4 linked regions of the Ovis aries genome follow. The protein of the gene in region 3 interacts with the protein of the main gene of each other region in a pairwise test. Links are inferred from orthologs where the notes say so. Each region holds a gene or a part of one and is shown on either strand. Other genes may lie near its edges. The genes, in order: GOLGA2, FAM114A1, RAB2B and GARIN6.

Evidence for each region.
Region 1: the proteins of RAB2B (region 3) and GOLGA2 interact in binary tests that used the Homo sapiens proteins (3 or more experiments, as listed by UniProt). The two-hybrid records come from large-scale screens. The link is inferred for Ovis aries from reciprocal best matches to the Homo sapiens genes RAB2B and GOLGA2.
Region 2: the proteins of RAB2B (region 3) and FAM114A1 interact in binary tests that used the Homo sapiens proteins (3 or more experiments, as listed by UniProt). The two-hybrid records come from large-scale screens. The link is inferred for Ovis aries from reciprocal best matches to the Homo sapiens genes RAB2B and FAM114A1.
Region 4: the proteins of RAB2B (region 3) and GARIN6 interact in binary tests that used the Homo sapiens proteins (3 or more experiments, as listed by UniProt). The two-hybrid records come from large-scale screens. The link is inferred for Ovis aries from reciprocal best matches to the Homo sapiens genes RAB2B and GARIN6.

Annotation. Positions count from the first base shown.
Region 1 is NC_056056.1:8,018,302-8,023,555, forward strand, and holds part of GOLGA2 (golgin subfamily A member 2), read left to right. Parts: intron 1-243; coding exon 244-287; intron 288-389; coding exon 390-453; intron 454-846; coding exon 847-906; intron 907-1,092; coding exon 1,093-1,173; intron 1,174-1,962; coding exon 1,963-2,001; intron 2,002-2,498; coding exon 2,499-2,561; intron 2,562-2,649; coding exon 2,650-2,743; intron 2,744-2,833; coding exon 2,834-2,940; intron 2,941-4,009; coding exon 4,010-4,068; intron 4,069-4,350; coding exon 4,351-4,492; intron 4,493-5,254. UniProt on the Homo sapiens protein: Peripheral membrane component of the cis-Golgi stack that acts as a membrane skeleton that maintains the structure of the Golgi apparatus, and as a vesicle thether that facilitates vesicle fusion to the Golgi membrane.
Region 2 is NC_056059.1:58,873,104-58,877,293, forward strand, and holds part of FAM114A1 (protein NOXP20), read left to right. Parts: intron 1-1,374; coding exon 1,375-1,626; 3' UTR 1,627-3,566; coding exon of another isoform or gene 3,567-3,668; 3' UTR 3,669-4,190. UniProt on the Homo sapiens protein: May play a role in neuronal cell development.
Region 3 is NC_056060.1:24,039,163-24,045,112, reverse strand, and holds the start of RAB2B (ras-related protein Rab-2B), read right to left. Parts: upstream 3,815-5,950; 5' UTR 3,766-3,814; coding exon 3,720-3,765; intron 3,500-3,719; coding exon 3,428-3,499; intron 1,014-3,427; coding exon 946-1,013; intron 1-945. Other genes in the region: TOX4 (TOX high mobility group box family member 4), read left to right, coding at 4,174-4,179, 4,378-4,446. UniProt on the Homo sapiens protein: The small GTPases Rab are key regulators of intracellular membrane trafficking, from the formation of transport vesicles to their fusion with membranes. Rabs cycle between active GTP-bound and inactive GDP-bound states.
Region 4 is NC_056056.1:169,270,302-169,276,011, forward strand, and holds the start of GARIN6 (Golgi-associated RAB2 interactor protein 6), read left to right. Parts: upstream 1-1,980; coding exon 1,981-2,029; intron 2,030-5,710.

The sequences.
Region 1 (5,254 bases), on a different chromosome or scaffold from region 3:
CGCTCTGTGTTCACCCCCTCCTGTTTCCCGGAGGACTGGACCTCCTGTGGACCCTCGTCCTTTTTTTCCAGGTATCTTGGCTCTGTGAGCCAGGTGCCCTTCCTGAGGACTGGGATGGGGGAGCCCAAAACCAGACTCCCCTTAAGCTTCAGGGAGGTGGAAAGTGGTCGGAATGAGCTTGGTGCCTGTAGGTGGTTCCTCCTAAAACTTGAATGACCAATTCCTGTGTTTCTTCCCAAACAGAACCATGATGCCGACAACCGTTCTGGTCCCATTGACGAAAGCACGTGAGTGTCTCCCACGGGGGCACCAGTCCCTAGGCCACCGCCCCGTGACCCCCCCTTTCCCATCGAGCCTCCTGCACCCCTGACTGCTGTGTTCATCCCCAGATCCTTTTCATCCACCGAGAGTCTGCGACAGCTGTCTCAGCAGCTCAACGGTCTTGTGTCCGAGGTACCCCGAAAACTGGAGCTCGGCATGGGTTAGAGTAGGAGGGAAAATATGATAGAAAGAAACTGAGGCAGAGACTCCCCAAAGGAAGGGAAGATCCTGGGACCGGGCAGCTTGGCTGGATAATGTTTAGCTGATCATTACTTCTCTGAGTCTCCTCTTTGAAGCCATGCAAATGAAGGGGTTGGACAATGAGATTGGTTACATCGTTTGATCCTGTAGATGAGAGCTCTTTGGGAGGGGAGGGACAAGGGGGAGCTAAGAACCAGGAGAAACTGGCGCAGGGAGGGATTAAGGGGCAGGAGGCAAGTTAGGCAGAAGAGGAAATGTTACCTCCAGCAAGATGCTGGAGGGGGTCAGAGAACATCTCCATGTGAGCCCTTTCGTCTCTCCTAGTCTTCGTCTTACATCAATGGGGAGGGCCTAGCATCTCCTGCTAATATAAAGAATCTGGAGGTAAGTGGGCCTGCACCTTGGCCCAGTGACCCTGCAGGCCAGCACTGCCCCCCACCTCCTCCCATGGTGGGGGCTGGGTGCCCCACCCAGCTGAGACAGCCCAGACACCCCCCGACCCTAATGATTGCTCTCTCTACCTCTCCCTACCCCTCCTCCACCTCCTCCTCCTCTCTGCATGCGCCTCAGAGCCGGTACCAAGAACTATCAGTAGCCCTGGACTCCAGCAATCTAAAAAACAAACAACTCAGTAGCAAGATAGAGGAATTGGTAAGAGTCCGGTGTTGTCCCCTGATCCATGTTGCCAATATGGGGCTCCGGTCTCACCTTGGGGCTCTTGAAGAAAGGGGCTGGGGATCCCTGGTGCCAAGGGAGAAGGGGGTGCTGGGAGGCCTAGGTCTCAGCTGGAGGGACCCCGGAGCATGGCATGCAGCATGGCTCTCTCTGTGGCTGCCCTCTTTGCCTATTCTGTTCTCCAGACACCTCTGCTCGAGTCCTCCCCACCTTGCCATGGGTCTGTTGCCTGTAGGGGAGGCACTAGCTTGACTGGTGTGTTCCAGCCCTGACCCAGCCCCTGATTTGTTCCGACTTCGACCTTGGACAAGTCACCTCTCCTCCTTGGCCTTTAGTTTCCTGAGGAGGTAGAATCAGAGGGTGTCCAAGGTCCCTTTTAAGCCCCCAAAAAGGTTTCAAGGTCCTTTTCATTCATGTATCAGTGTTGTTAAGAACAGAACCTGGCCTGTGATGTGTTTGCTCAGTGAACATTCCTTGAGTGTGAGCTGGCAGAGGGTGGTCTTCACCTTCTCAGACTCCATTTCTAGAGGTTTATGTCATTGTCCCTTCAAGGGAATCAGATCCAGACCCTTGCTGCTGTAGCCATGAGCAAAACCTGCCAAGGCTCAAAGTCTCTTAGCTTGAGAAGCGTTCATTCGTTTGTGTCCCCGTGAACCCTCCCTTTCTAACCCCTTCCTGGCCCCTGCCTGCGGCCCCTCCTCCTTGGTCTGAGGATCGTGGGGAAGGAGGACAACCTCAGTCACCTTCCTTTGCCTCTCCCCACAGAAACAAGAGAACCAGGAAACTTTGGATCAACTGGAAAAAGTAATGTGATTTCTTTGTTTCCTCCATGGTTAATGGGGCTTCCCTGGTGGCTCAGTGGTAAAGAATCCACCTGCCAGTGCAGGAGATGAGGATTCAATCCCTGGGTCAGGAAGATCCCCTGGAGAAGGAGGTGGCAACCCACTCCATTGTTCTTGTCTGGGAAATCCCAGGGACAGAGGAAGCCTTTCGGGCTACAGTCCATGGGGTTGCAAAAGAGTCAGATACAACTTAGCGACTAAACAACCCATGGCTGATGGGTTTGGGGGAGGATTCAGATGTAGAGGACCATTCTCCTCTTGGCTGCTTACAGCCTGGAGGAATAGGGGGCTTCCCCCTTTGCCTCCTCGCCGGTCTTCCACTCCCAGGGCGCCGATTATCTGTTCTCATTGGTGGGCCTGTCCTGGGCCTGTGGTGGCATCCCTGGGCGGGGCACATGTCCTTTTCTCTTTCACTTTTGCGTCCTCCCAGTAAGAGTTGTTTCTTCTCTCTTTCTGCAGGAAAAGAAGGAATTTGAGCAGAAGCTCGCAAAGGAACAAGGGGCTCTGCGAGAGCAGCTGCAGGTGAGCAGACTCTTCCAGGGTCCCTTGTGGCCCCCAGGAAACATTGCTTTTCCACATTGTCAGCACTCGTTTGGCCTTTCTCCTAAAGGTCCACATTCAGACTATCGGGATTCTGGTGTCAGAGAAGACGGAGTTACAGACAGCTCTGGCTCACACCCAGCAGGCAGCCAGGCAGAAAGCAGGTGGGAATCTAGGCACCCTTTTACCCTTGGGCTGGCTAGGCCTTTGGTGGGATTCCTTCTCTGGACTTCCCCTCTCTGCTGTCATTTCAGGGGAGTCAGAGGATCTTGCTAACCGCCTGCAGTCTTCCAGGCAGCGCGTGGGAGAGCTGGAGCGGACGCTGTCTGCCGTCTCCACGCAGCAGAAGCAGGCCGACAGGGTGAGCCCAGCAGCCTGCCCATCCCCTGGAGGTCACGTGGATGGGTTGTGAGCCTAAAGGTCTCTCCGGCAGGATGGAATGACTGGCTGCCCAGACGGCAGCACTGTCCGTTTCTTGCTGCGTTAGAGTTGTGTGGTTGTGAAATGCGATCTGGACACGAGTTGGTTGCCATGGTCGAGTTGTGGGGAGGGGCTGGGGAGTGCCACCTAGAGTGAGCACTAGATGAGCCCAGACCCTGAGTGTCAGCCAGCCCTGCCTTTAACTGCATGGGTTCTGGCTCAGGTGCTGGGTGTTCAGGCTGTGAAGGTTCAGATCAGTATTTTTAGTCCATGACCACACTAAAAAGGGAGGAGTACATGTGTGTAATATATATGACATGTCGGAAAGGACTCATGTAAAACCCAAGGAAGGGACTTCCCTGGTGGTCCAGAGGCTGAGACTGTGTGCTCCCAGTGCAGGGGGGAACTAGATCCCACATGCTGCAACTAAGACCCAGTGCAGCCAAATAAATATTTTTAAAAAGCCCAAGGGAGAGGAATAGGGTGGCTTAGAGACCTGTCGCTTTTGTACCTTCTAAGTTTGGGGCTGTGAATGTCCCATCCATTCAAAAAATGAACAAAAGATTACAATGCATTTTAATCTATCCCTCGTGGTCATGCCCTAACCCCAGGGCCAAAAACAAGGTTGAAGAATCCCAGGTCTAAGTGATTTTAGGCGAGCTCCTTAATCTCTAATATTCCTCATTCACTGATAAAATGGAGATAGCAGCTGCCTCCACGGTGATTGTGAGTTGGGAATGTTGGCTAAGAAAGTGTTCAGAAAAGGTTCAGAGGTGATGCTGCTAACAGTGAAAACGGTGGCCGGCCCAGAGTCAGACCGCCCCACCTTCCTCTTCCAACCTTCCCGAGTCCTTACTAAAACCAAAGGAGAGCATGAGCTTGGATGAGCTTTGAAAAAACGTAAAGGCCTCACACCAGGTGAGGACGTGTTGCTGGGAGCCGTTCTGTTGCTGTTGCTGGGCTGCATTTTCCGCCTGCCTTCTCCTGACCTCGCCTTTCTGTGTTCGCAGTACAACAAAGAATTAACCAGAGAGCGAGATGCCCTCAAGCTGGAATTATACAAGAACAAGTAGGATGGGGGGTGATGGGGGGGACTGGGAAGTGGGGGAGATCCAAGGGAGTCGGGTGAGAAAGAGGGTACATGTTTGGACGTGTGCAGAGCCAGGCTGTCAGCCAGCCGTGCCCCTAAACCCCTGCTGTGGCCTCAGGCAGCTTGTGTCTTCTCTCTGGGCTGCCTCTTGAGACTCCTGGTGCTGGGGTCCCTTCCAAAGTGACTTTTATGGCAGGAGTAGTGGGTGGATCATGGGAGCGTTCCTCTCTGTTCAGCACTCACACCTCCCTCTGGCCGCAGTAAGAACAACGAGGACCTGAAGCAGCAAAACTCAGAGCTGGAGGAGAAGCTGCGGCTCCTGGCGATAGAGAAGTCAGCCATGCAGCTGGGCATGGAGGATCTGCAGAAGAAGCTGGAGATGTCGGAGCTGCTGCTGCAGCAGGTAGGGCTGAAGCCCTGGGGTGTGCAGGCCCCACCTGGCAGGGCCAGGTCCTCTCAGGGTCACTGTGGTGCCCTCCGACCAGGAACCAGAAAGTTTGGATCCTTGTTCTGGTTCTGCCATAGACTTCTCTAGAGACAAGAGAAAAACTAGGACCTTGCCCAGATCTCAGGAATGTGATACGGCTTATTTATTTATATATATATATTTAAAGCATCCTAGTTGAAAACCGTTGTTTTATGGATGATGTTGGGTTGGCCAAATAGGTCCTATGAGTTTTTCCATAATATTGCATGGAAAAACCTGAACAAACTTTTTGACCAAACCAATAGTTGTAAGGCCAGCCCGTGAGTTTCTGCTTCCTTCCTCTCGGATGCCAAGCCTCCAGGTAGACAGTGCCCAGGTCAGTTTCTTCTTCATTGTTTTGGCATGCCCAGCAAATTTCTGCCTTCGTGCCACCTGTAAGGGTATGGTTAAAGTATGCCATGTTCATATATTGGAGTACTATGTAACCATTATAAAAACTTAAAGTTATCTTGTTTTCAGCAAAGTGAAATTAAGTTGCAGAACCATATATGATACTATCCCTGGTACTATGCATCAATGAAGCATGTTTGCATACCTGTGGAAAAGGGTCAAGAAGGATACACACTGGATTGGGGAGGTTGGGAGAACTTTGAACACTTACTATCAGAATTGTTCACGTTGAGTATTTAGTGAAAATAAAGCTTGTAGACATGGTACTAACAATATTAAGGATAACCC
Region 2 (4,190 bases), on a different chromosome or scaffold from region 3:
TTTTGAAGAAGGAAAAAACCAGATCTAAAGATGGTTTATGAAATGCCATCTCACCACAACAGTACCTCTTGTCTTGTGCTGTAATAAATCATTCATATCAAGTTATTGTTTCTGCTCTCTGAAAGAGCCATTATTCATAACTTGAAGTTAATGAGTGTATATTGCTCTCCAGACTCTATTTAAATTGCTTGCACATCTCATTGATTCTGAAAGCCAATGTCATTTTATTGCCCTCATTTTGATTATATTTTAGAGGTTTATTGATAATCAAATAAACATGAAAGCAAACCATAATGGATTTTCTGGTTACTTACTAAAATGACTAGGTTTTTAAAGAGTTTTTTCCCAAGACTCCATTATGCTTTCCCCAGTAAGACATTATTTAGCCCTCAATAGAGTAATGTCAATGAAAGTGGGCTGCTCTGGGAAGACAGACTTCATTTATATCCTTTTGTTTACCATAACATTTTTCGAGTACCGTGAGAGAAAACAGCCTATTAAGACTGCCGTCTCTCTTTCTAGTCCCTTTAATTATTTATTGTCTAAGAGTAGACTGAACATTTTAGATAGAGAAGACTGTTGATTAATGGACCAATAGCAGACATAATAATGGTTACATGGACACTAACACTTTTTGAACACCTGCTTAACACTGGACTCTGTATTCTGCACTTTACATATATTCATGTTTTGCAAACTGGAATCTGCCAACCTGTTTGCAAGTTATAGTCGAGTATTTTAACTTTGCTGCCAACCTAGAAGACATACCCTAAAACCAAGTACCTGTGCTTGTATTTAAAAGAAAAATAGACAGACTAGGGCTGGGACTAGTAAAGGCAAGTAAAGGTACTTAACCTGTCTACCAAATTTAAGGGGACCATCTCTCAAAAAGAGACAAATAGACAACCTCAGTCATCTAGATAGATGCAATATTTTAAAAATCAAAATGAATACCAAAAGTCATGATGAACAAAATATAAAAATTTTAAGCAAAGACTGAAGCTAACTCTGTCCAACTCAATCTCACTCACCTCCCCCTAATCCCAAACCTGATATAAGATTTGAATGGTTTAAAAGGTCTGAGTTTAAACTTCTAGCTACATGACCTTAAATAACTTCCTCAACCTTCCTGATTCATATTTTCTCATCTGTGAATCAGAGTTATCGTGGTCCCTGCCTACCCCCTAAAATCTCTGTGGAAATTAAATGAGATCGTATAGGGGAAGCACCAAGTATGAAGCCTCATGTATAGTAAGCATTCCACTTCTCCTCTTCTTCTCTAAGAGATCCCTCATAAAGCCAGCATCTTAACACTTTGACAAGCCTTGGAGTATGAGCACCTAATCTGTCAATTTCATACTTTTGATTCCACAGAGCAACCAGAAGGCCGAGGTCCTTAACCCCATGATCAATAGTGTATTGTTAGAGGTAAGTGGCCCCCAGAGAGAAAATGCTTCTGAATTAAACCAAATGTTAGAGCTACACATTTTGTCTTTCTCTCAGACAGCAAGTATTTCTGCAATTCTAAATTTTATCGTCTACAGTCTTTTTTTAGTACATTTGTATAGTTCAACCAGCTGTAAACCCTCGAGTGAAACAACAATACCTAATTTTCAAGAATCCTGATTATAAAGAGAAATGCTAAGCTTGCACATTATTTCTGTCGCTGTTTCCTCCGGCAGAAGCACATTTCTGCTGCCAAGTTTGACACCAGATTTAACACTGTGATTTTTGGCTGCAACGAGGAATTCTTGCTCAATGGTGAATTTTTGTTAAAGTGGGCACTTTCCTCCATTCACAATAACCTTGGGTTTAGCCGGGTCTAAGTTCCAGACTGGCAACAAATGACAGGTAAATATTTAGCATCTGCCCATTCACTAACCAGAGGCAAGATCCTCTGTGACCACTCACTCCATGGCCAGCCCACACACCAGGACATTGTAACACGGACATGTAGCTGCCCCACACAGCTGTGGCTTTGCCAGAAGCAGCAATGTAAAAGAAAAGAAAAGGAAAGGGACCTAGGACGCCTCATTCTTGACCTGTAGGTGCTGTGTTCCATCTGTGGCTAGTGGGGGAAATTCTTCTATTACGGATCAGCCATAAGGAACTGGCACTTCTGTAGCCCCACGGCACCCAGCTGAAGCCGCAAGGTGTTGACAAGTTAAGTTTGAATATAAGCAGTGTATATACAGTGGTTTCTTGCTCTCTGAAGTACCTGTCAAATGCAAAATTTGGAAATTACAAAAGTGAGGGAGGGCTACATATAAATATATAGCAATGCACTTAGGAATTGAGTCTTACCTTTAAGGAAAGCTACCGAGGTACAGGAGTAACAGTGGTGACCCTAAGTGTTATTGCTTAAGACACAGCCTCCCAGAGGGATGGAGTTGACATGCAGGGAAGATTCTGGAGGATAGAGCTAAAGGAAATCCAAGCAATCAGAGGCAGAACATGGAACCTGAGAACATTTTCCTTGGCCACCCAAAAGGCATTAGCAGATGAATTACTGTTGGTCATGAAGAGTATGAAGTCAAATCATTTATTCATTCCTTTGGTGGAAGTTTTCTCCTGTTTTAATTACCTGGAACTTTAAGTGGTCTCTCGTGGAATACTGTCTGTTAGAGCACCCATGAACATGAATAGCAATGTCAAAGATCCAAACCAAGTGGAGAGTACCAACATGAATAGGAAGATGACAGCATTCAAGGATTTGCCGTGAATAATTGCACAATATCTCCAGTAACCCATTATTGTTTATTCATCTGTACATGTTAGTCCCTCAGTCGTGTCTGACTCTTTGCCACCCCATGGACCATAGCCCACCAGGCTACTCCGTCCATGGGAACTTCCTGGCAAGAATACTGGAGTGGGTTGCTATTTCCTTCTCCAAGGGATCATCCCAACCCAGAGATGGAATTCAGGTCTCCTGCATTGCAGGCAAATCCTTTACCATCTGAGCTACCAGGGAAGCCCTTCTTCATCTGTAGGTTAGGACAAACTACAGCCTCTTTCATGCTGTGCTTTTGTGTTATTTCAGGGCAGTGAGATTGATCTGGAAAAAGGATAAGTAAGACTGGACATAATGGGTATTGACTATACACACATAATATACCCTAGAGTTTAAGTGTTAGTCACTCAGTCATGTCCAACACTTTGTATCCCCATGGACTCTGTTCATGGGATTCTCCAGACAAGAATACTGGAGTGGGTTTCCATTTCCTTCTCCAGGGATCTTCCTGATACCAGGGATCAAACCCAGGTCTGCTGCATTGCAAGCAGATTCTTTACCATCTGAGCTAAAGGAAATATACCCTAATATACCCTAAAAGTCTATGGAAATGGCTTGCCTCAAGTGAATTCTTCTCTCTGTTAGTGTAGATAATTGAGAGCTGGTTGCAAGCCATCCAACAAAATGTGTTTATATCTGCTTTAAGCAACAGCATTAAAAGAAAAATGTTCTAAAATAGTGTGGGGTTTGAGGAGAAGAACATTATCAAATGGGAAGAATTGTCAAGCTGGAACTCTGACAGTAACCCTTCAATGACAGTTTTCTCCATTCACAGGGCTGCAATAGCACCACATACATACAGGATGCCTTCCAGCTGCTGCTGCCTGTCCTGCAGGTTTCACACATCCAGACCAGTTGTTCCAAAGCACAGCCATGACCTGGCCAGACTTCATCTTGTTAAAGGAAACAGTGGGCCCTGTTGCTCTGATGTGCATTTCATGGGAAGTTTTCCATGCATCCAGCCACAGACGTCTGTTTGGAGACACTACAAGCAATTTTGCACAGACAGTATTGAAAATGCAAGTTTAAAGAGAGTATCATTTCTCTTAATGTATATGGTTGTTTTTACAAATAATTATGTTTCTTTTATATTAATTTAAACTTTCACAGCTTTGTATTGATAATTTCCTTTAATCTAGAGTTCACTTACAAATATTCATTTCCATTTTCCTGGTTAAGCATGTTATCTTTGGCAAGTTATGAGTGGACCCTAGACTTTAAATTTCTACTTTAAATTTTCCCATTCTTATAGTATGACTTTAAATCAGTTCTTATAGTGGACTTAGTTTTATTATATAAATGCCATGGGAAGAGATAACACTACTTATAGATTTTTGCCTATTATAGTGAAAGGGAATATAGGTGTCTCTTTATAGTCATTCATTCTTCAAACAAGCAT
Region 3 (5,950 bases):
CTGGATGAAGCACAAGCTAGAATCAAGATTGCCGGGAGAAATATCAATAACCTTAGATATGCAGACAACACCATTCTGATGGCAGAAGAGCGAAGAAGAACTAAAGAGTCTCTTGATGAAAGTCAAAGAGGACAGTGAAAAAGCTGGCTTAAAACTCAACATTCAAAAACTAAGATCATGGCATCCAGTCCCATCATTTCATGGCAAGTAGATGGGGATACAATGGAAACAGTGACAGACTTTATTTTCTTGGGCTTCAAAATCACTGCTTATGCAGTTTTTAATGACTGACTGCAGCCATGAAATTAAAAGACGCTTGCTCCTTGCAAGAAAAGCTATGACCAACCTAGAAAGCATGTTAAAAAGCAGAGATATTACTTTGCCAATAAAAGTCCATCTAGTCAGAGCTTTGGTTTTTCCAGTAGTCATGTATGGATGTGAGAGTTGGACTATAAAGAAAGCTAAGTGCTGAAGAATTAATACTTTTGAACTGTGGTGTTGGAGAAGACTCTTGAGAGTCCCTTGGATTGCAAGGAGATCCAACCAGTCCATCCTAAAGGAAATCAGTCCTGAATATTCATTGCAAGGACTGATGCTGAAGCTGAAGCTCCAATACTTTTGTCACCTGATGCGAAGAACTAACTCACTGGAAAAGACCCTGATGCTGGGAAAAATGCAAGAGGAGAAGGGGATGACAGAGGATGAGATAGTTGGATGGCATTACTGACTCGATGGACATGAGTTTGAGCAGGTTCCAGTTATTGGTGATGGACAGGGAAGCCTGACATGCTGCAGTCCATGGCGTCGCAAAGAGTTGGACATGACTGAGTGACTGAACTGAACTGAACTCTGACCTCCATCCTTAGCTCCTCCGTCATAGCCCTTTATCCCTGCATCAGCCTTTACTGTTATATTTGGGACTAAAGTATTTTTGTTTTCTCTTACCGTATCCCAGATTTGCAGTTTGATTTGTTTTCCATCAATGTTGACCATACGGGCCCCAAACTCCACACCTGTCAGTGAAAACCGAAAGAATGTGATTCTCACGAACAACCATGGTGACAAGAGGTTCATGCTTGTCCTCATTGTGCTAACGACTCATCCTCCGCACTTGGTGCTACTAAGCCCATTACAGTTCCCTATTTGCTCCAATTAATTTTTTGCTCCTTAAAGTTTTATCTTCTAGAATTAAAAACTGTGTTCCAGGTGACAACCACCTCAGGAATATAACTGAAAAGCACATATGGGGATAAAAATTAATTAAGAAATCAAATAGAAAAAGTGAATGAATTTTTAGAATTATTGTTTAATGCTTAAATTTGATTAAGAAATGGTTAATTTGTAACTAAAAAACTTCTAAATTTTTTGAAAATATTTCTTAATATTTTCCCAAAGTCACTCTCTAGTCCTCTATATGAAACAATAAATACTTGCTTTTTGCAATTTTAGATTTTTTTTTTAGAAAAGCACCTATCTAAGAATAGGTTCTCAAGAATGAAACATTTCAGATCTCCAATAATTCCAAGAGTTCATCAGAAAAACAGCATGCCTCACAGGGGTTTGGAAACAGATAGTCCGAATAAAGGTTTTAGTTTACCTGCATTCAACTTCTATCAAGGTAATGTCAGGTCAAAACTTAAAAATCGAAGATCACTTACATTAAAAATACTTGATTGTAAGTCAAACAATTTGCCCTATTTTCTATCTTTACACAGTACTTTACTCCAGGAATTCTGATCTGCAGGTAAGAAACAGCACTAATCTAGCTTCTGCTATTCAGGGGCCCCAGGCACAATATATCCAGAATCTCTCTCAACTCTATAAAGTTTTACAGTCAATAAGCAGATTTAAAAAATTGTTTCTTACTACTCTAGACTGCATCATCAAGAATAATGATAGTTACTAAGAAAAAAAAAGTCACTAATTTTGTTTTCTTCCTGGACAAGAGGAATGGAGTTTCAATGGTGAAGAATTAAAAAATACAACTTCTGTCCCCTTTTATGCAACTTCCTCTAATTATGAAAAAATCTTCATATTTTGTGCACATTTTATAGCCAACTGCCTTGTTTATCCTGGTATAGAAGACTGAATTCAGAAAGAAACAGGGCATATGTTGGACTCTGGGAAAACTTGATCACTTCATTTTGCTACTTTGAAACCTGTCACTTGCTCATTACCTTTAGGTGTGTCAAAACTCATCTCTCCCCTTCCCCACCCCAGATGTTCTCTACTCTTACTTCTTGTCACTCTTCTCTTTAAATTCCATGGTCAAGCCATATTAAATTACTTTCAGTTTTCCAGATTAGCCTGAACTTTGTTATTCCTGAGCCTTTGCACCTGTTTTTCCCTCTTGGCCTGATCACTTTTCTCTCACCTTCCACAACCCCTTCGCTTGGCTAGTTCCTTCTCATGCTTCCATTTTCAGCTTTTCCTGATAGATGTGGCAGCCTCTTATCCCCTTTTGCAATAGTAATTTATTCATTGGTATCTGCCCCCAGCCTCACCTCACCTCCTACACTGGAGCTTTCAATGTAGGCATGTTTGCCTTGTTAAGCACTGTATCACTTAGCACCTAGCACATTGTGGTTGTACACAATAGTCATTTACAAAAGTATTTTCCTGTTGATACTAAATCCTTTTCTAACCACATTAGTTATTTGGCTCTGAATAAGTACTGTGGGATCAGTAGTAGCTTCAGATTTCCATAATGTGGGACTTGGAAGTGGCAATATAGTAAGAATGGGAGCTAGGGATTTTACTCTGAAACTGCACCTGCATGGCAAGAAGGCTAGTTTTATGTATATAATCTTTATTTGGGTTGGGGTTATGGAGATTATGGGGAATGGGTTGTTAAAACTCAGCAGGTCGTCCCATATCACAAATTTGTGGAAGATGTTCACATTTCCCACGCTTACCAGAGAGTTCTTGAAACTCATGATTATCATATCTTTTCTTTAAAACAAAACTTACCAGTTTCATGTACCTTTTATTCTAGGTCTGGGATGGCTCTTCCATTTGCTTCCTCCTCTCCAACACACACACAAAATCTATACTGTAGTGATTACTTTGAAAAAGTAATGAGGTTCACACTACTTTACCGCAGAGTAAGGCGAGTTTTTGAATTAACAGTACGTTTTCATAGGATTTTACATAAACATACAAACTACATTTGTTAAAAAAAAAAAAAAAATCCTGAGGCAACTAATCCATACCTCATGGTCATCTCTAAATCTAGTCACCCTTCAATTACCTACTCCCCATTACACTACTGCCCATTTCTCAGCATTTAGTCATTCTTCACTTAACATAACTTTGGACTAACCCCAAAATAGGAAGACGTAACTTTTCTACTTCGAACACTAAAGCTGCTAACTTTCTATTTTAGTCAGATTTCATAATCTATTCTACGAGAGGTATATGCGCTTACCTATTGTGAGGTCGTGGACAGGTTGGAATCGCTTGTCTGTAAACTGCAGGAGGAGACATGACTTCCCCACACCTGAAAGAAGACGCGTGCGTTAGGAGTTAGGCAGCGAGAACAGACCAGTGTCGGGGCGTCCAGGACTGGGGAAGGGGAGCCCCGAGCCCCGCCCCCGGCGGCCCGCCCCGCCCCCCGCTTCACTTAATCGCCCAGCCCACTAAATGAGCCCCGCCCCCAAGCCCCGACTTGGGTGTTTCGGATCCCCGCCCCAGCTTGAGGATTGTCGCCCGCGGGTTACCTGTGTCTCCGATGATGATGTACTTGAAGAGATAAGCATAAGTCATGGTCCCTTTTCCTCTGGATTCCGGGTCCGCCCGACTTCTACAGCCACTTACCTCCGGCCTCTCTAGCCGCTCAATCTATCGACCTCCGGCCCCTCTAGCCCAGTTAACGTCTCTATTGCTCTCCCTCGAAATCCCGTTTCGGTCGGAGCGACGGTAATACCCAGATACCACCTCCGAGGACGCCTCCAACACTCCTACATGCCATTATCCCACCAAGCTCCAGGAGGCGATAGCTAGCCTGTCAGTCCGCTCGGCCTTCCCGGGCCTGACTCGCAGCAGCCCCAAGGCGCTCCTTCCAATCAGCGGAGAGCGACGCACGACGTTGGGGAAGTGACGGCAGTTCCGTGTCCTGTGTGGGGGCGGTGGGAGTGATGAGTTCACTGAGACCGTGATAGCCGTTGTGTGAAGATGGAGGTAGGCTCCTGAGCGTTGAGAAGCCTGGCGAGAGAGCGCGGCTGACGGGGTTGAAGCAGAAGCGGGAAGCGGCAGATGGGAGGGGAGAGAGAGCGGGGTTTGGGAGGTGTTGTCATAATGTCTGGGTCAGAAAACGTCGCTCCGATCTAACTCTCTGCTTCCCCTAACTTATCCCCGCGGCTTTCTTTTGGTTTCCAGTTTCCCGGAGGAAATGACAATTACCTGACGATCACAGGGCCCTCGCACCCCTTCCTGTCAGGGGCCGAGGTGAGCATGAGTTGCCGACGCTGCGCGGAGAGGGTGGGAGGCAGCGGTGGGGTAGGATGATGGGGAGGAGAGCGCGGACGCCAGGGCCCGGGTTGGGAACCGGAGGCTGAGATCGATATCTGGAGAAAAGTGGCAGCTGCCTTCAGAGCCTATGAGGACTACGCGGAAGGCCAGGAAAGCTGCTGTCATCAGAAAAGCAGGACTCTGGAAAAAGCGAACCTATTTTAGAGCGATTCTGTATTGGAGTATAGAATGAAATTGTCTCCTTTCGTGGAGGAGAAACAAGTACAATAATGGGAGATCGCAGGAGGGAGAGAATGTTTCAGCCAAAGAAATTTGGGAAGGGGCAGGAGTTTACCTAACACGTCAACTGTGGAATGTGTTCATTCTTAAACCGTACTCTATTGAAGGGGTATGTGTTTCGTTGAAACTTCCTACCTAGCAATTTTTTGAAAAGTTAATGGTTATGTTTACTTACAGAGTGTTAGCTTGTTGTGCTAGTGAGAGAATGAAAGGGAATATTTGCGAGAAAACATGGAGTTGAGTAGAGCACGCGTTTCTGTTTGCCAGTGCCTCAGAGTTTGGGTAGGTTCCTTCACCCTTATGTGTCAGTTTCCCTAGCTGTCAAAGGATTGTAATAATAGTTTATTACGATGTTGTGAAGTGGAAGTAATGATCATGGTGATGTCCTTTAGTGTTCTTGGAAAAGGTTTAATTGAAATGTTGTCATAAATATGTATGATTTGTTTAGACAAGGCAAAAGAAAAGGGTGGAACAAAAATAAATTCAGTCTTTGAGAAACGGAAATTTTGAACTTTCTGTCTTTTGAGAATTTTTAATTGTTTTCAAACTTGGCATAAACCATTTGATCACTTTTTTTGTATCAAGAATTCTCAATTGCTGTTGAATGAACTTATCCATAGGGTGGCAAAGAGTTGGACACGACTGAAGCGACTTGGCATGCATTCATGAACTTATCCTGTAACAAACCTTAATAGAGTTTCTTGCAAGGAAAAGAAATGTCCACAAAAATAACTTATCATAAAAAAGTTGAAAAAATTCGACTTCTTTGAAATATAAAGTGTTTTGGGTTTGTGTGGTTTTTTTTTGTTTTTTTTTTTTTGGCCATGCTGTGCAGCTCTCTAGGTTGTAGTTCCCCAACCAGGGACTGAGCCCAGGCCCAAACAGTTGAGAGTGCCAAGTCCTGACCACTAGAGCAACAGGGAATTTCCAAAATTTAAGAACTTTTCATCAGTAGACATCATTAAGAAATTAAATAGGCACTTCACAGACTGGGAGAAGATATTTTATTACATATATCTGGCTTAGATTCAGAGTATATTCAGGTACTTCTGCAGAGTGAAATAATCCACTTTTTAAATGGACAAAAGATTTAAACTTGCATATCAGAAGAGAGGGTATCCAAATTGTCACTAGGCATATGAAAAAGTATCATCATTACTTATCAGGGAAATGCCAATTAACAATGAGGTACCATTTTATA
Region 4 (5,710 bases), on a different chromosome or scaffold from region 3:
ATATTATAATATATTGCCTAACAATTTTATTGTGAAGAAAATCTTGAAATATGAAGGATAAATATAATGAAACAATGTAAATTTAATATAAAAGAACAAGTATCTGAAGTTTAAGCTCTGGAAAACGGAAGAAAAAACAGAAGGCTACTATCGAGTCTTTGAGATAAATTACAGTGCACATAATATGCTTTGAGCTAAACACTCCTAGAATTAATAAACTGCCTAGTTATTCGATATAAATCCACATGATTTATACCAAAAATTCATTTACATTCTACAGAGGAAAAATATCTATTTGCTCCCTTCTTTCTAAAAAGATTTCTGAACTCTGGGAGAAAGTTTATGATGATTAATAGAGCGCTGCCAGAAATTTGTGTTAAGAGAAAAAAATTTAATCTTTAATATATATAAAGTTAATACTTGAAGCCAACTCTCAGTAAAAATTATATTTTGAGGGTTTTTTTTTCCCCAGAGAAATTAAAAGCCATATTGGATTTTCTAGAACTTTCCTACGGGGAAGCCTATCACACTCTAATTAAACGGCTGCCAGGAGGTAAGCATGCCCTGCTTACTACCTGCAGGTAGTGTATGACCCGCTTCCAGGCGCTCTTCATGCTCAGCTCACCTCGAGTTCAGAGCCATGATAAACCTTCTTAAATGCGACATCTAATAATAATGTAACAGAGACAATATTTTGGAAATATTAAACTAAGGGATGTTTCATCCTCCCTAAATTACAGTGCCTTCCATTTCCCTGCCTTATCTTATCACTGTCTATCAGATAAGATTAGGGAAATCTCAGGTCAGTGAAATGTATTCCTCATTTTCCCTAGTACAAACGAGAACTTAAAGAACTGCTACGTCAGAATCTCTGTGTGGGCCCTGAATGCAAATGAATGCATGCCTGGAAGCAACCTAAAGGCCATGGATGCTTTGGGAATTTGGCAGACATAGACTAGAGACACTTATCAGAAAGCTTCATGGTTGATCGTCTCAGAACTTGTTCCCATGAGAGCAGAACCTCTGTGAAAGAAGTAGTTAAATCTTTAAAAAGACCAAGCAGTAAAAGACCATTTGAAAAAGAAGAAAGCCTAGCCAGGAGCTAATTCCCTTTGAGGATTTTATTATCCCTGTGAGCTCTTGGATAAAGTGAAATAGCAGTCTCAGAGGGAACTGCTCTTTGAAGAAACGAGATGAGAGCTCAGCTTCTGAAGAAGTGGTCCCTGTATAAGCAGGGAGAGCACGAGACAGAGAGGGAGGTCATCGGGCCCATGCTTGAGGCCCAGCAGGAAGCACCGCAGGAGCTACAACTTGCATCCCAGGGAACTTCATGTGGATGCCATCAAACGTGACCCCAGTCTGTTCCCTTTTGAGAGGGAAAGGCCAGATCACATGCCTGCAGAAGGCCAGTACCACATCATCATCACGGTGTACACACCAGTGGAATTCAAGAGAGAGCTACAGGAAGCTGTCCTCAGAACACACTGCTCTTGAGAATCAGAATGACCTGGGTTCGAGGCTGCTTTACAAAATCATCAGTTCAGCTCAGTCACTCAGTCGTGTCTGACTCTTTGCGACCCCATGGACAGCACCACGCCAGGCCTCTCTGTCCATCAACAACTACTGGAGCTTGCTCAGACTCATGTCCATTGAGTTGGTGATGCCATCCAACCCTCTCATCCTCTGTCATCCCCTTCCTCCTGCCTTCAATCTTCCCAGCACCAGGGTCTTTTCCAATAAGTCGATTCTTCACATCAGGTGACCAAAGTATTGGAGCTTGCTGTTAATAAATAGAAGCTATGGAAGGAAGAAAGGAAAGAAGGAAGGAAGTGGGGGGAGGGAGGGAGGAAAGGAGGAGGAGGAGGAGGAAGGCAATGTCCAAAACTGAGCACCCATGTAGTGAGTTTAAAGTGGTTCAGAGAGCGATTTGAGTAGAGAGGACTTGAAATAGCCTCCCACAAATATCCCAGTGGTAGTAGTATGAGACAGAGAACCAGAAAAATTTCCAGTACCCCTAAGCCCTTGAAAGGTGAGTGAAACACAGCTGAAATTTAAGTCAGTAAACTTAAGTGCTTAAAGTCACCAAGTTACTACTTTGAGTTAAGATATGTCTGCCTCCAGAGACAGTTTTATCTCTCTCAAAATCCTACAGGGGTTTCTAAACATCTATTTTGAAATTTTGAAATTCTCTTATCTGGCATTCACCTGTCTCAAGATTCCCAAACCTATCCTTCTTCACTCAAAAATATATTAATAACACATGCATTTCTTATTGATACAATTAATTGTTGATATGAAGCAGGGCAAAGGCTAACAGAGTTTTGTCAAGAGAACACGCTGGTCTTAGCAAACACTCTCTTCCAAAAACACAAGAAAAGACTCTACACATGGACACCACCAGATGGTCAGCACCAAAATCACATTGATTATATTCTTTGCAGCCAAATGGAGATGCTCTATACAGTTAGCAAAAACAAGACCTGGAGCTGACTATGGCTCAGATCATGAGCTCCTGATTGGAAAATTCAGGCTTAAATTGAAGAAAGCAGGGAAAACCTCTAGACCATTCAAGCATGACCTAAATTAAACCCCTTATGAATATAGAGGAGGTGACAAATAGATTCAAGGTATTAGATCTGGTAGACAGAATGCCTGAAGAATAATGGACAGAGTTTTATAACATTGTAACACAGGAAGCAGTGACCAAAACCATCCTAAAGAGAAAGAAATGCAATAAGGCAAAGTGGTTGTCTGAGGAGGACTTACAAATAGTTGAGAAAAGTCAAGAGAAGCAAAAGGCAAAGGAGAAATGTAAAGATATACTCAACTGAATGCAGAGTTCCAGAGAATCGCAAGAAGAGATAAGAAAGCCTTAACTGAACAATGCAAAGTAATAGAGGAAAACAATAGAATGGGAAAGACTAGGGACGTCTTCAAAAATATTGGAGATAAAAAGGAAACATTTCATGCAAAGATGGGCACAATAAAGGACAGAAATTGCAAGGACCTAATAGAAGCAGAAGAGGTTAAGAAAAGGTGACAAGAATACAATGAAGAAGAACTATACAAAAAAAGGTCTTAATGACCCAGGATAACCATGATGGTGTGGTCACTTACCTAGAGCCACCTTCATATCCAGGAGTGTGAGGTCAAGCAGGCTTTAGGAAGCATTACCACAAACAAAGCTAGTGGAATAGACAGAATTCCAGCTGAGCCATTTAAAATCCTAAAACATGATAAACAGTTAAAGCGCTGCACTCAATATGTCAGCAAATTTGGAAAACTTAGTAGTGGTCACAGGACTGGAAAAAGTGAGTTTTCATTTCAATCCCAAACAAGGACAATGCCAAAGACTGTTCAAACTACCAGATAATTGCACTCATTTCACATGCTAGCAAAGTAATGGTCAAAATCCTTCAAGCTAGGCTTCAGCAGTATATGAATCAAGGACTTCCAGATGTACAAGCTGGATTTAGAAAACGGCAGAGGAACCAGGGATCAATTTGCAACATCTGTTGGATCACAGAAAAGGCACGAGAATTCAAGAAAAATTTCCACTTCATTGACTAGACTAAAGCCTTAGACTGTGTGGATTACAACAAACTGTGGAAAATTCTTAGAGATAGGAATACCAGACCATCTTACCTGTCTCTGAGAAACATGTGTGCAGGTCAAGAAACAACCGTCAGAATTGGGCAAGGAATGAAGGACTGATTCCAAACTGGGAAAGGATTATGTCAAGGTTGTATATTGTCACCCTGCTTATTTAACTTCTATGCAGAGAACATCATGCAAAATGCCAGGCTGGATGACTCACAAGCTAGAATCAAGATTCCTGGGAGAAATATCAACTTCAGATAATGCAGATGACACCTCTGTAATGGCAGAAAGTGAAGAGGAACTAAAGAGCTTCTTGATGAGGGTGAAAGAAAAGAATGAAAAAGCTGGCTTGATATTCAACATTCAGAAAACTAAGATTATTCCAAGGCAAATAGAAGAGGAAAAAGTGGAAGCAGTGACAGATTTTATTTTCTTGGGCTCCAAAATCACTGAGGACAGTGACTGCAGCCATGAAATTAAATGACACTTGCTCCTTGGAAGAAAAGCTCTGACAACAAACCTAGACAGTGTATTAAAAAGCAGACATCATTTTGCTGACAAAAGTCCATATTGTCAAAGCTATGGTTTTTCCAGTGGCCATGTATGAATGTGAGAGTTGTACCATAAAGAAGGCTGAGTGCCAAAGAATTGATGCTTTTGAATTATGGTGCTGGAGAAGACTCTTGAGAGTCCCTTGGACTGCAAGGAGATCAAACTAGTCAATCCTAGAGGTCACATCTATTGCTAGTTTCAAAATCAAATGAAAACCCAATAAAAATTAATTTTAAAAATAAGGAAAAATCTTAAAATAATGTTTTGAATAGTAAAAGATAATTTTAATAAAATGGTTTATCTCAAGAGATAGGAGAAGTTGAAATGCTGCTGGAAAGTGTTGTGGAGGAAGGAAGAAATTAAAACAATCCAAGCCTATATTACATAGTATCTTCATTAAAATGTCATTGAGTTAAAAAAAACTAATGAAATTATGTAACTTTTCCCTTAATAAACTATAATTTACCTTTCTGTAATGCAATTTGGCAATATATATAAAAGTCAATATATATATCAACAGAGGTTTGTATAGTCAAATTATGGTTTTTCCAGTAGTCATGTATAAATGTGAGAGTTGGATCATAAAGAAAGCTGAGAGCCAAAGAATTGATGCTTTGAACTATGGTATTGGAGAAGACTCTGCAGAGTCCCTTGGACTGCAAGGAGATCCAACCAGTCAATCCTAAAAGAAATCAGTCCTGAATATTCAAGACTGATGCTGAAGCTCCAATACTTTGGTCACCCGATGTGAAGAGCTGATTCATTGGAAAAGGCCCTGATGCTGGGAACGATTGAAGGTGGGAGGAAAAGGGGATGACAGAGTATGAGATGGTTGGATGGTATCACTGACTCGATAGACATGAGTTTGAGTAAGGTCTGGTAGTTGGTGATGGACTGGTAAGCCTGGCATACTGCAGTCCATGGGGTCACAAAGAGTTGGACGTGACTGAGTGTCTGAACTGAACTATAAACGTCTTAAAAAGATACTTACCTCTGTTCAGTGATTCAATTTTTCCAAGGAAATAAAATCAAAGATAGAGGATTTATGCATAAATGTGTTCATCAGAACATAATTACTAACAGTAAACTACTATCAACAATCTAAATGACTGGGTAGAGTCAGGAAAAGAGTGAAAATAATCTCAATAGAGGATGATTTTTTAAAAATCACTCTAGTATATTTTTAAAATTAAATATTATGCAAAGAAAAGGCAGAGGAATCAAATTGCCAATATATGTTGGATCATAGAGAAAGCAAGAGAATGTCAGAAAAACATCTACTTCTACTTCACTGACTATGCTATAACCATTGACTATGTGGGTCACAATAAACTGTGGAAAATTCTTAAAGCAGTGGGAATACTAGACCACCTTACCCATCTCCTGAGAAACAGGTCAAGAAGCAACAGCCAGAATCAGACACGGAAGAGACTGGTTCAAAATTGGTAAAGGAGTACATCAAGGCTGTATATTGTCACCCTGCTTATTTAACTTCTATGTAAAATACATCATGTGAAATGCCAGACTAAAATATTTGATCACATTAAAATGTTTATTC